Linked DNA regions of Stegostoma tigrinum. The protein of the gene in region 2 purifies or fractionates together with the protein of the main gene of each other region. This does not show direct contact. Links are inferred from orthologs where the notes say so. Each region holds a gene or a part of one and is shown on either strand. Other genes may lie near its edges. The genes, in order: ccnf and centriolar coiled-coil protein of 110 kDa-like.

Region 1 (7,638 bases), about 24 Mb from region 2:
GACTGGTTGAGTGAGTATGGAAGTCTTGGTCAGCATGGATGAGTGGGACTAAAGGATCTGTTTCCATGACTGTGACTAAGGGGAACTAACATCATGGTTTATGACTCTTTGTTCTGTTGGTAGATCTTATTAATACACAAATAATGCAAGGACCCTACAACCAGCAATGAACACATCCTGTGAAGCGCAAGACATGAGGTCAAGTGCCAGACTCCATACCAGATGTAGTCACGTTTAAAAGCATCCAAGTGAGACGGCTGTGCTTCAAACTTTGTCACAACCTCACTAGTATTGTCTCGATGAAAAAATAAAGAATGGAAAGGGTGCTCCCCATCCCCCTCTCAACATTCAAAAATGGCAACACGGTATATTTGCATCCATATCCATAGTATATACCTATTCCATTTTCTAGTTTACTAAAGGATGTACGTAACCAAGACAGCATACATCAAATACAGGTATGGAGGAATGAACACAAACCCCATGCATGCAATAAATCTACCCACCTCACATCTGATAATCTTGAATTATTCATGGCGTGAGAGCATTTTTCCCCATCCCTAATAGTCCTTCAAGTGATGAACCCATCCTCCCCTGGCTTGGGTAAAATCAGAGTGATGCAAGAAACATTTAGTGTCACACTTAGGCAAGGTTCTTTGCCTATTTCCAGGTACTCAGCCTTGTACTGAGCTTCGCGGGAAGACACCAATTCCATATTTGCCAGATTAAAAAAGCACTCAATTCATTCAAGAATCAATACAAAAAATGATAGACTAGAGGAGTTTTGTTCTTTTGCATGATGCAGGCCTGATGCGAACACACAGAAAACGTTATACCAAAACTCACTACTCTGTACTAAAGAAATCCGTTTCCTACCAGTATATATCAAACCTACTCAGATAGAACACTTGGATAGTAGAGAGTTGCATTCGAAATCTCCCGTCACCTGATCATATCCCGAAAACCAGCCCAGCTCATCCCCACCTCCCTAATCTGTCCTTCCTCCCACCTATCTACTCCTCCTACCTCAAGCCCCATCCTCATCTCCTACCTACCAGCCTCATCCCCACATCCTTGACCTGTCCGTCCTCCCTGGACTGACGTATCCCCTTCCTAACTCCCCACGCCGCCTCTTTGACCTGTCTGTCTCCTCTCCACCATCATCTCCTTTATCCATCTTCTATCCACATCTCCCTCTCTCCCTATTTAATTTCAGAATCCCCTTCCCCATTTCTGAAGAGGGGTCTAGACCAGAAACGTCAGCTTTCCTGCTCCTCTGCCTGTTGTGCTCATCCAGCTCTACATCTTGTTATCTCTTAACTTGGATAGTAAAGATCTGCAATTCAATTGTTTTTTCAAATACAGGATAATACAAGCCAGACGATTTGCAGCTGTTTCCCTGGGATGCTGAAACACCTCATGCTTCCCAACCCAAGATAAAACAAACGACACAATGTGGACTTCACCAGTTTCAAAATCTCCCCTTCCCCCACTGCATCCCTAAACCAGCCCAGTTCATCCCCTCCCCCCACTGCACCACACAACCAGCCCAGCTCTTCCCCCCCACCCACTGCATCCCAAAACCAGTCCAACCTGTCTCTGCCTCCCTAACCGGTTCTTCCTCTCACCCATCCCTTCCTCCCACCCCAAGCTACCTACTAACCTCATCCCACCTCCTTGACCTGTCCGTCTTCCCTGGACTGACCTATCCCCTCCCTACCTCCCCACCCACACCTTCTCCACCTATCTTCTTTACTCTCCATCTTCGGTCCGCCTCCCCCTCTCTCCCTATTTATTCCAGTTCCCTCCCCCCATCCCCCTCTCTGATGAAGGGTCTGGGCCCGAAACGTCAGCTTTTGTGCTCCTGAGATGCTGCTTGGCCTGCTGTGTTCATCCAGCCTCACATTTTATTATCTTGGAATCTCCAGCATCTGCAGTTCCCATTATCTCTGACTGCATAACTCAGACAGGTGACTACTGCCCATTTGATCAGAGTGGGTGATTTTTGGCAACAAGCAAATCTGGGAAACTCCCAATCCATCTAGAACTACGTGCTTTCTTAGAAGCTCACTCAACATTACAATCCACAAAAGAACCACAAGAATTGCCCAAATCCAACCAAAACACAATATGCTGAATCTACCCTCAACTCCAGTCAACTCAAAGTAAACTCACCCTTGCTCTTCAGGCACCCTGATTTAGATGGCAGAGAACCTTCCCTAACAGACGTTGTAGTCATAGGAACTATGATTAGGCCATGTTTTACTAGATCGTGACTGATTTTATACCCCAAAGTCACCTGCCCACACCGGTCCTACTATCCCTTGACATCTTTAATATCTATATTAGATATCAATCGCAGTATTGAATACAATGTCTGGGCCTCTTAGCCATCTCAAGTAGAGAACTCTAAACACAACAGTCGAGTGAAAAATATTCCCTAGCTCAGCACTAAATGGCCTATCTCCCCCTCCCCCAACGAATAAAAGGGCTCAAGAACGTCTCTGCCAATCCTTCTCCACCCACTACTCAAAGTGTTTCCTCCCTTCTCTCTCCCACCATCCTCCGGGCTCAGACAGGCCCTTTCTTCCACTTCCTCAAAATAGAATCCTACAGTGTGGAAGCAGGGCATTCGACTCTCATGGGGGTACAGCAGCTATTGCCACAACATACCGGGGGCAGAACATCCTTTGCACCTCCTCAAAATACGGAGGCCAAAGTCCCCCTACTCGGTACCAACCCCGTTCTTGGTCATAGACCGTCCAATACACACGCGGTTATGGCTAAATTTCAACTGATGATGAAACTCACCACCTGGTCGCATTTTCAGCCAATTTGCGTCCTGTTCCCCCACTTTTCAAACGGAAAATCCTTTCGATCAGCCGCTGGTTCCGAATAGTAGACTGCAAGAGGTTTTAGTACCACTCAGCGAGGATATCGGATGAGTCGGGTGTCTCTGTACCGAACTCCGTTGCGGTGCGAAAACAGAAATGTGTCTACGGAACTGCGTGGAGAAGGGGACAGCGGAATATCTGTGTACCGGACTATGAGGACGATTAGAATTTGAACGTCCTTCAAGAATTGGGTCAAGCTATTCCTCTGCTGGAGTGTGAGGAATCTGGATCTTCTTCTACAGCTCTACCTTTCGCCACAGTACAGCTAAAACCCTTGCCACGCGCCCGACCGTTTCAAACCAATCTCACGAGAACTATTTCAAAATAGCCCCCGCTGATTGGATACCAGCAGCCTACGCCCGTCCATTGGTGGATCCACAAATCAATCAACAGCCTCGCCTCCCAATTTCACATCGCAATTGGTCTGTTCAGCATCTTTGCTGCGTCGCCGGCCGTTCTAATTGGTTCCAAAGAATGCACTTTTCACTCGGACTGCAAAAGCAGCGCCTCAGATGGGCAGGAAGAAGAAGCGCAATAGCGCGGTGTTTGGAACAGAGTTTGGCTTGAGTGATGGTGTTTGGTGTTGGTAGTCTTTAATTGAACAAAATGTCACATTTTCAATTAATGCCTGTTTCTAACTAAGAGATGGGCTTCAGATGTTGACATTTTTATTCGCTTTTGAAATGTGCCATCATTTTTTGACAGTTCCTAAATGTCTTGACCATGCCTGGGTGGTTGGTGAGCTGCCTTATTGAATCACTACAGCCAACGCGTTGTGGGTACATCAACTGTGCTGTTTGGGAGTGAGACCCAGTATTAAAGGAACAGTTGGTATCAAAATGTAGAGCTGGATGAACACAACAGGCCAAGCAGCATCTTAGGAGCACAAAAGCTAATGTTCCGGCCTAGACCCTTCATCTGAATGATTTCTGATGAAGGGTCGAGGCCCGAAACGTCAGCTTTTGTGCTCCTAAGATGCTGCTTGGCCTGCTGTGTTCATCCAGCTCTACACTTTGTTATCTCGGATTCTCCAGCATCTGCAATTCCTATTATCTCTGATACAGTTGGTATCAAGTCAGGATGATGTGAGACTTGGAGGAGAAGATACAAGTTGTAGTGTTCGTAGTGTCTGATGTCCTTGTTCTCCTGGTTGTTAAAGGTTGTTGAAAAGTGCCGTTGATGGATCTTCAACAAATTGTTGAAGTCCACCTTGTATATTGGCAGACATTGCAACTACTTGATGCTAGCGATGGAAGAAGTGAATGTTTAAGGTGATGGTTTGAGTGTTGATCACAAGGCCTGCTTTGCCCTGGATGGTTTTGAGTTTCCTGAGTTTGTTAGACCTGGACTTCTTCAGGCGAGCAAAAAAAATAGAAAATAGGAGCACAAGTATTCAGCCTATCAAACCTGCTGTGCCGTTTAGTGCAATATGACATCCTTCAACACCATTCATCCAATGTCTTACCATAATTTTTGATGCCTTCAGGGTCTAAAAATCTATCAGCTTCTTTCTTTAATTCATCAACTTGGCATCCACTGCCACACGTGGTAGAAAATTTCACTAGTCCACCAACTTTTTAGTAAGGAAATTTCACCTCATCTCAGACCTAAATAGCCTACCCCAGAGACCTTGACCATTCAAGACCCTGCAGATGGGTAAATAATCCCTGCATCCAGTCTGTTTAGCCATTTCAGAACATTGCATATTTCAATGAGATACCCTCTCATTTATTTAATTGATATCATCTCATTTATTATCTAGTGAACACAGGTCTAGTTGACCCAATCTGTCCTCAATAATGCTGGCATTGTAGGAATAATCCTGGTGAATATTCACTGCACTCACCCTATGGCAAATATATCTAAAATTAGGGACCAAAGTTTCACACAATAACATGATTTCACCAAAGCTTTGTATGTAGAGCTAAAGTAAAATGTGCTTGTTCCTGGATTCTCATACTGCTGCAATAAAGTCCAACATACTTTCACCTTCCCACCTGCTTACTGTAAATGAAACACCACACAATGCTTTGTATTTTGTTTGAACTGGCACATTTTTTCTTTATTTATTCATGGGCTGAGGGCATCGCCAGAACATTTTTTGCATACCCAAAGAAAGCTGCCAAAGTGCCTGGCAGTGAAGTACATGAAACCTTTTATAATTCCAGCAACTGAATGATGGGATTTGAATTAGACAGTGATAAATGTCGCTATCTCCCATCCTCAAGTGGAAAATATCCCATTACACTCCTGACTTCTGCATTGCAAATACTGGACAGACTAAGAGGTGAGTTAATCACTGCAAGATTCCTTGCCTTTGACTTGCTCTTGTTACTGTATTTATATGGATAGACCAATCCAGTTTCTGTTCAATGGTGACCCCCCCCCCCCAGAATGTTAATATGGGGGGAATTAATGTAGGTGATGGTTAGATTGTCTTTTATTTGGGCTTGTCATTGCCTGACATTTGTGTAGCGTAAATGTTACTTATCATTTTTCAGCTCAAGCCTGGATATTGTCAGGGAATTACTGTATTTGGACTTGAAACACTTTAGTTTCTGAGGAGTATTGAACAGCGTTAAACATTCTGCAGTCTTTTGCAAACACCCTCACTTTTGACCATATCATCAAGGAAATGTCATTCATGCAGCGGCTGGAGATGCTTGTGCCTAGGACATGACCCAAGGAACTCTTGCAAAGATATCCTGGAGCTGAGATGATTGACATCCAACAATCACAACCATCTTAAATAAAACAAAGAACTGCAGATGTTGGAAGTCTGAAACCAAGACAGGAATTGCAGGCAAAATTGAACAGGTGTGGCAGCATCTGTGGGAGGAAAGCATAGATGCTGTTTCCAGTCCAGTGACTCTTCATCTGAGCAGTTAGGAGCATAGAAAAAGTGGTATTTATGCTGGACAAAGTTGGGGAGGTGGAGAAAGGAGGGAGGTGAAGATGAAGCCCACTGAGAAAAATATATGAAAGAGATAAGTAAACAAGGAGACAATGGATCAGGATAATGAGCAGGCTAGGACTGAACAAAGGCTGAATAAGTGATAATGAACACAAGAGTAGGAGAGAAACGGTGATCCGAACTGACACCAACCCATGTAATATGATAATATGCTTCGGAATGGGTGCCTGCTTAAAATCAACCCACATCACCATAGGACCAGAATGGTGTAAGTGAAAAAAACATCGAAAGTGGAATCAGGCTCTAAAGTTATTGAATCTTGATATTGAGTCCAGAGGTTGCAAGGTCTCCAAGCAGAAAATGAGATATTGTTCTTCAAGCTTGATCAATGGAACACTGCAGCAGGCCTGCAATACAAATGTTGGTGTGGGAACCCAGTCATGTGTCGACATGGCAGGCAGCTGGAAGCTTGAAGTTATTTTTGTGGAAGGAATGTACATGTTCTGCAATATAAAGGACACCACACTGTGAACAGTGAATACAGTAGACTTGATCAAATGAAATACAGGTAAATTGCTGCTTCACCTTGAAGGTACATCTGGGCCTTAGGTCATGAGGAAGGTGGAGGTGAATGGGCAGGAGTTACACCCTCTGAGATTGCATGGGAAGTTCCTTGGGGTGTGAGGAGGTGTTGGGAATGCAGGAGGAGTGGACCAGAATGTCCCGGAGGGTATGGTCCATGTGGAATGCTGACAAGAGGAATATGTGCCTGATCATGGCATTCCATTGGAGGTGATGGGAATGGCGGCTCACAATCCTTTGGATATGGAGGCTGATGGGATGATAAATGAGGACAGGGGGACTCTATCATTGTGGGAGGAAAGGGATGAGGTGAAGGCAGAAATGTTGGAGATGGGTCACACATGGTCAAGGGCCCTGTTGACTGATGAATATTTCTGAGGACCCACCACCCATATTTAAGAATATGCGTGATGGAGACAGAGAAATGAGGAGAATGGGACAGAATCTTTACAGGAAGCGGGGTGTGATGATATATTGTTGAGATAACTGTGGGAGTCATTGGGTCTGTCATGGATATTGGTGGCTAGCCTATCCTCAGAATGAAAACAGAAATGTTGAGGAAGGGAAGGGAGGAGTCAGAGATGAACCAGATGAAGGTCAGGGCAGAAGGTGGAAAATTGGAAGCAAAATTGATAAATTTTTCCAGTTTAGTACGAAGGCAGGATGTACCAGAGAAAGACATTCCGAGTGAGGAATGCTCCACGTGCCTCACAAAGAGACAGGAGTAACTGGGGCCTTTGCAGGTAACCATGGCCACACCTTTGACTAGAAGAAAGTGAGAGGAGTTGAGGGAGAAGTTGTTCAAAGTGACCCTGAGTTCAGTCAGATGGAAAAGGGTGGGGTGGATGGGGTCAGTTAAGACATTCTTTCCAGGAAGAACTGGAGACCCTGAAACCATCTTGATGGGGGATGAATGTGCAAAAGGATTGCATGTCCATGTTGAACAGGAGGCAACTGCTGTCTGTGAACAGAAAATTCTGAGTGTTAGAAGAATCACAAATAAAACTGGGGAGGAACTGGACAAGGGGAGAAAAAAAAATGTCAAGCAGGAAGAAATAAGTTCTATGGGCAGGATCAGACGGAAACAAAGAGACTTGCTGGGCAGTCCTGTTTGTGGATTTACGGAATAAGGTGGAAGCGAGCCGCAGGAGTTGGGGGACTGTGAGCTAGGAGGCTATCATGGGAAGATCCCCAGATGAGATGAGGTTGGTGACAGTCATGGACATAAAGGACTGATGCTTGATGGTG
Region 2 (7,306 bases):
TGGGTCTGGAGTCACATGTAGGCCAGACGAGGTAAGGATGGAGGACTTTTTTTCCCCTCAGGACATTAGTGAATGGGATGCGTTTTAATCAACAGTAGTTCATGGTCACCATGAGATCAAATTTTTATTCCAGATTTATTAATTGAATTCAAACTTCACTAATTGTCAAGGACAGAAAAGAATCCGTGTCCCCAGTAATTCTGCTTCTCTCACCTGAGACTTGCTAAATTTCTCCAGCATATTTTGTTCTTAGCTCCAAGAAAATTCACCTGGGGTGCTGGATTACTACTCAGTGACACTACATCTCCACCACCCCCCCCCCCTTTTAGATTGTTTTGTGACAATGCAAGATTTATTAAAGATAAGAAAACCCAAGCTTCTAATAAGTACCATGACTTAATGGGTTAGTGCTTGTAAAGCAAGCCACACTATTCCCAGAATTCTCACAAATGTGAAAAGATTTATCCAAAGTTCCCAACTTACCTGCCTGAAAAATTTGCCTTAAAGGAAAACATTTACCCTGTTTGTGTACTTAGAAGAAGAGAATTCCTACAGTGTGGAAAGAGGCCATTCAGCCCATTGAGTCAGCACCAACCCTTTGAAGGGCATCCTACCCATTCTTACTAATTCCCCATGGCTAATTCACCTAGCCTGTATATCCCACAACATCTACAAGGCAATTTGGCATTGGCAATCCACCTAACATGCACATCTGTGGACAATGAGGGGAAACCAGAGCACCCAGAGGAAGCCCACAAAGACACAGGGAGGACACGCAAACTCCACACAGACAGTTGCCCAAGGCTGGAATTGAATCCGGTCTCTAGTGCTATGTGCCACCGTGCTAACCCCAAAAAACAGCAATTAGGAAAAATAAATTGCCAAATTATTACTCCACAATTTAAACTCTATTCCTTTTTAAATACCCCCTTCACAAACAGAAATGCATACAAAGGCAGTTAAGACATGGATATTCAGGTTGGGAAAATATCAGGGAGACCTGGTTCATGAGCAGCATACTGGATCAGAGCAGTTGATGAACTGCTTTGTTTCTCGTTTTTTGTTTGCACAAAATTGTTTGCGCACCAAAGGTCTTTCATTCACTGATTGAGAATTCATCTTCAATGGGATTTGAAGACAGCTAGCTTTTACTGGATAACACAATATGGAGCTGGAAGAACACAGCAGGTCAGGCAGCATGAAAAGAGCAGGAAAGCTGATGTTTTGGATCGGGACCCTTCTTCAGAAAGGTGCTTAATTTAATTTTAATTTGGTGTCATTTTTGGCACAACATCATGGCTGAAGGGCCCATTGCTGAGCTGTACAGTTCTATGATCTACAGAAAAGGCCTTTTGGCCCATTGAGTCTGTACCAAACTAATTCCACTTTCCAATACTTGCCCCATAGTCTTTCGTATTTTAACATTTCATGCTCATCTTCAGGCTGTGAGGTTTCCTGCCTCTACTACTGTCCCAGGCAGTACATTCCGGGTTCCTATCACCCTCTCAATGAAAGAAAAGTATTTTCTCAAATGCTTTCTACACCTCCAGATGTTCAATTTAAAATTATTCATAATTGAGCCTTCAACTAAGGGGAGCTGCTGCTTTCTGTCCATACTAATCGTGTCCTTCATAATCTTATACATCTCTATCAGGCTCCCCTTAGCCTTCTCTACTCTTTAAAAAAAATAGCCTGAGCCTATCCAGCCTCACTTCATTGCAAAAATGCTGCATTCCAAATAACATCCTTGTAAATTTCCTCTGCATCCCCTCTAGTACAATCACATCCTTCCGATAGTGTTGTGACCAGAATTGCACACTGTACTCCACTCAAAGTTTTGTATAGCTTCGTCAAAATCTTTTGCTCTTATAATCTGAGCCACAATTGATAAAGGGCAACTATCCCATGTTCCTTCTTTAGAACATAAGACATAGGGTAGTTCGCCTAATTTCTGCTCCTGTTAACCTGTTCTACTGTCTTCAGAGACTTGTAGACAAGCACTGTTGTAAGCCTAAATGTCCCTTCTCCCAAACTACCTCTCCCCACCCCATTAATTTAAAGCCCAAATGATTTAATTCACTAGCAAACCGGTCCCAGCAAGGTTCAAATCAAAAACTGAGTTCTGAGGAAGGGTCACCAGATCCGAAACATTAACTCTGTTTTCTCCTTCACAGATGCTGCCAGACTTGCTGAGCTTTTCATGCAATTTTGTTTTTGTTCCTTATTTACAGAATCCACAATTCTTTCAGTTTTTAAGGTTCAAGTTCAAGCCTGTCCCCTCAGAACAGTTCCCTTCTACCTGTTACTGGTGCCAGGGTCCCACAAATTGAAACCCATTCCACACAGACCAATCTTTGATCTGTGCATGATAACAAACCAACATATCCAAAGATGTACAGATTAGCTGGATTGGACAGGCTAACTTGCCCCATATTACGTAGGGGGTGCAGTTAGTCAGTTTCCCTTAGCCGAGGGAAATGCAGGGTTGCATGAGTTGGGTGGGGAGGTGGAATGTTCGTCGGAGGGCTGTTGTGAGCTCAATTGGTCAAATGTCTGTTTCCGCACTGGAAGGATTCTATGCTGATCGTATATCCATGGAATTCATGAATCATCCTTGTAAAGCACCAATGATGGGTGAGATTGTGAATTTACTTTAAGTCATTTAATAAATGTTTTACTGTAAATAAATTATCTATAGATAAATGAAAATTATCAAATGCTATTAGAGAGAATGTTTGCCATCAGCTTGGCAAAGTTTCCGAATGGTTCTGAGCCTAACAGAGCTGACCCCTTGCACTTTCTCCAACAGACTCTCACATTACTCAACCCTCCCCATCTCTAACCCCACACACAGCCACTCCATTTTTCACAGCGACCCTCCCAAAACCCCACCCCAGCCAATAGCCCCGCCCATCTACGGCCCCGCCCCACGTACCGCCTTGTTCTGTTTTTAGCCCCGCCTTCTCACACGGTCCTGTTCCGCTATCAGCCACAGTCCCACCCCCACAAACAACACCTCTCTGCTATCAGCCCCGCCCCCCATTCAGGCCATTCCCATACTGTCAAAAATCACAGATCAGAAGATTATGGTCCAACGGATCTGTTTGAAGACAGCTTTCGGCATCAGGCTGACACCTGAAGAAGGAGCGTGTGTAAGAAAGCGTGTTTTTAAATGAACTTACTGGACTGTGACCTGGTGTTGCGTGATTTCTGACCTTATCCAACCCAGTCCAGCAACAGTTCCTCTTGTCAGCCCCGCCCCTCTCCTCTTTGTTGCAGCGTCTGACGTAAGGCTGCGTGCTGACGCCTGCCGGTGAGGGCGGTCCCTGGAGACGTGTCCATGGTGAGGAGCCGTAGCGCCATTGTGGACCAGTTGCCCGAGCTGGAGCGTCAGCGGCCGGGGGGGCGGGTGTCCGGTAATGGATGTCACGGTGGTGGCCGGATTTCTGCTCCTGTTGGCAGTGGTGGCACTGCTGGTGGTGAGTGTGTGCCACCCGGTCTACTTTCCGGTACTAGTGCTCGGCTTGTGCCTGGCCGTGCAAGCGCTCAGGTACCCGCCCGTGCCGCTCGAGGTCGCTCAGCAGGTGCTCCGTCCCAATGGCCGCCTTTCGGTAGTCGCCCATCGGGGAGGCGGCTATGATGCCCCGGAGAACACCCTGGGGGCCATCAGGAAGGTGAGTGTCCCGTTGGTCTACTGTCTGTCTCTTCTTCATCGCCCTCCAGGCTTCCTATCTTCAAACTCCCAACCGTCCCTTTGAAGCCCTCCACCCTATTCCACTTCTACAGTCCCTTCTAAAACAGCCCCTCCCCTCCCTCCATCCACCAACCCTGGCCAAAACTTACCAACTCTCAACCCCACAAAATGCAAACTTCAAAGAATTATGTACCTGAACTCCCAGGTCCCTCTTTTCTACCCAACACCCTGCCATTAATTGTATGTCCTGCCTGTGCTTTTTGTACCAAAATGCAGTACCTCGTATCTATCCAAACTAAACTCATCTACCATCTTTCCATCCATTGACCCATGCGATCAAGATTCCTTTGTAACCTTAGAAAATCTTCTTCAGTGTCTACTATGCTGTTAGTTTTGGTGCCATCCACAACCTTACCAGTCATGTCTTCTACATTTTCATACAAATCATTTACATAAATGATGAACAGAAGAGAACCCAGCTCCAAGTTTTGTGAAACACAGCTGGTGACCAGCCTCCTCTCTGAAGAGTAACCCTCTATCACCACTCTGTCCGCTGCTGTTGAATTATTCGTGTATCCAGTTGGCAAGGTCATCCTGAATCTGTGTGACCTAACTTTACCAAAAAAAAGTTACCCGTACACTCAGATCCGTCTGTATGTTAATGTTCCCAAGAGCTTTGCCATTTACAGTATAATTTATACTTAAATTTGATCCTCCAAAATGCATCACCTTCCATTTGTCTGGATTAAACTCCATCTGTCATTTCTGTGCCCAAGTCGCCACTCTATCTATACCCTTGTGTATCCTTTCACAGTTGTCGGCAATATCAGCAACAGAGGACCCAAGACCAATACACTACTAGTTACCGGTTTCCATTCTGAAAAAGCCCTTCCATTGCTATCCTCTGTCTTCTGTGACCTAGCCAGTTTTGTATCCGTCTAGCCAGCCCACCCCAAATCTCAGATAACAAGGTATAGAGCTGGATGAACACAGCAGACCAAGCAGTATTAAAGGAGCAGGAAGGCTGACATTTTGGGCCTAGAACCCACCCCAAATCCCATGTGATTTTAGTTTTTGTACCAATCTGCCATGTAGGACTTTATCAAATGCCTTAAAGTCCCAATAACCTACATCCACAACGCTTCCCTCATCGATTATATTTGTCAGTTGGTCAAAAACAAATTCATTCAGGCTGGTGAGATGTGACCTTTCCCACACAAAACCGTGCTGTCTTTAACTAGTCCACTTTCTTCCAAATGTGCATATATCTTGACCCTCCAAGACCTTCCCCACCACAGGCATCAGACTGACTGGCCTGTAATTTCCGGGATCATCCCTGGTGCCTTCCTTAAACAAGGGAAAGACATTGCCTAATCTCCAGTTCTCTGGAACCTCGCCTGTGGTCAAAGAGGATATGTAGATATCTGCTAATGGCCCAGCTATTTCTTCCCTTGCCCCTTGCACTAACCTAGAATAGATCTCATCTGCTCCTGGAGAGCTGTCTACCTCAATGCAATTTAGGATACCCAAAGCTTTCTCCTTCAATATATTGATATTCTTTAAGGTTCTTTTGAATATTTGTAGCTTGGGTTGTGGATGAGTTTGTTGGTATGCTCACCAAGCTGGCTGGTTATCGTACATACGTTTCGTCACTGTGCCAGGTAACATGATCGCAGCCTCTGATGAAGTGATGTAGTTCTACTCTGCTTGGAATATATATGATCTAGTCCATAAGTTGGGTTGTATCATTTCCAATTTGTTCTGGATTTGTATATGGGATTTAATTCCACATGTTTGTTGATTGCACTACGTGTTGAAAACCAGGCCTCTAGGAATTCCTGTGGTTGGCTTGAGCTAAGGTGGACCAGATCATATAAATGTCATACTAACCCCTGTACGATAACCAGCCAGCTCGGTGAGCATGCCATCAACTTCATCCGCAACCCAAGCTACACATCTTCACAAGAACCTTAAGAATGTCACCCAACCTGAAACATTAACTCTGATTTCTCTCCACACATGCTGCCAGACCTGCTGAGTCTGTAATAGCAATTTCTATTTTTGTACCCCATTATTACAGTCTTATTGTGCTTACATACGATCTCCCTACATATGCTTCTGAATTTCTCTCTGACTGTTGAGGTGGGGCTGTAGTACAATCCCATCAAGGTGATACTTATTTCTAATTTCAACCCATATATTTTCAGAATTTTAATATCTTCTGTAGTTACAGCAGTAATATTTAGTGTAAAAAAAATTTGGTAGATGTGTTCAACTTGTCAGACACACATCAGTTACTTCAGTTGCTTGGTGGCTAGTCTTTCCTTGCTTACGTAAACATTGAAAGCCAGTGGATGAAGAATATTTTTAGAACAGTGGAAGCTAGTTTCTTATAAAATCGTAGTGTGGAAACAGACCCTTCAGTCTACCCGATCTGTGCTGACCAGACATCCAAATCTGACCTAGTCTGATTTACCAGCATTTGGCCCATATCCCTCTTAAACTCTTCCAATCTATATACCATCCAGATGGCTTTAAATGTAGCAATTGTATCCACCTCTACCACTTCCTTTAGCAGCTCATTCTATACATGCATCACCCTCTGCATGAAAAGGTTACCTCTTCAATCCTTTGCACATCTTTGCTCTCTCACCTTAAAACTATGCCCTCTTGTTTAGGACTCCCCAAACTCTAGGAAAAAATTGATGGCTCATCACCTTATCTTGGTAAACAATATATTAAGTGGTTACCAGGATTTGACAGGAATGTGCATATAAAGTTACAACTGGGTCAACCATGATCTTAATAAATGGCAGAATTAGATTCAAGGCCTGAATGTCCAGCTGCTGCTCCTTGTTCTTCTGTATCTTTCAGTGCTGCTAATAATTGTTACAGTACTGAGGAGAAGTCTTGTTAGTAGCTCTATTGATCTGTTTTAAAGAAATATTAAAGGATCTTGAGCCTCCAAAATGTTTCAGCTTGAAACCATTTTGATTATTTTGACTCTCCACATTTACTGCTTTCTTACTCGGGAAAGCTTTTTTAAAGTTTTGTGGTTTAACCAATACCCAGCATCGCAGAGTTGCATTTCTCATCAGTTCCAATGTAAAAAAGCACCCAACAATTCTTTCCTGCAAGGAAAGAGTATCCCAAAAGTTGGCTTACAGCACAACAAAAAAATTGGTACACAAATAAAATTAACAGGTTCTTTTAACTTGTTAAATTTCCTGTAATCAGTGAAGTTTCTGGTAGGAACCTTCTGAATCTCCTTGTCTTCAGCAGGTCCTTATATGCAGTAATAATCTGCATTTATATAGTATTTTTAATATAGTTAAAACATCCCAAGGCCTTGGGGACAGAAAATGGCACCTAACCAAAGGAGGAGATGATCAGACAGATCTTTTAATGTTTGGTAACTGAAAACTTGATGTGTAATAGAATTTTAAAGAATGTCTTGAGAGACACCACCTTCAGTGGATTGCTTGGTAGAAACTTGAGAGCGCTTTGTGTACGTTATTACAACACCTTAATTCCTACAACTGTCGGTTGTTAAAACTGGCACTGAGTGTGATGTGGGTTTTCAGTTAGTTCACATCCATGCAGCTCTGGAAA

What was found.
Region 1: the proteins of centriolar coiled-coil protein of 110 kDa-like (region 2) and ccnf purify together in Homo sapiens (affinity purification with western blotting; 7 studies listed by BioGRID and IntAct, with this or other methods). This does not show direct contact. The link is inferred for Stegostoma tigrinum from reciprocal best matches to the Homo sapiens genes CCP110 and CCNF.

Annotation. Positions count from the first base shown.
Region 1 is NC_081376.1:31,183,305-31,190,942, reverse strand, and holds the start of ccnf (cyclin-F), read right to left. Parts: upstream 3,168-7,638; 5' UTR 2,825-3,167; coding exon 2,812-2,824; intron 1-2,811. UniProt on the Homo sapiens protein: Substrate recognition component of a SCF (SKP1-CUL1-F-box protein) E3 ubiquitin-protein ligase complex which mediates the ubiquitination and subsequent proteasomal degradation of target proteins.
Region 2 is NC_081376.1:55,080,848-55,088,153, reverse strand, and holds the start of centriolar coiled-coil protein of 110 kDa-like, read right to left. Parts: upstream 3,248-7,306; 5' UTR 3,183-3,247; intron 1-3,182. Other genes in the region: gde1 (glycerophosphodiester phosphodiesterase 1), read left to right, coding at 3,420-3,674.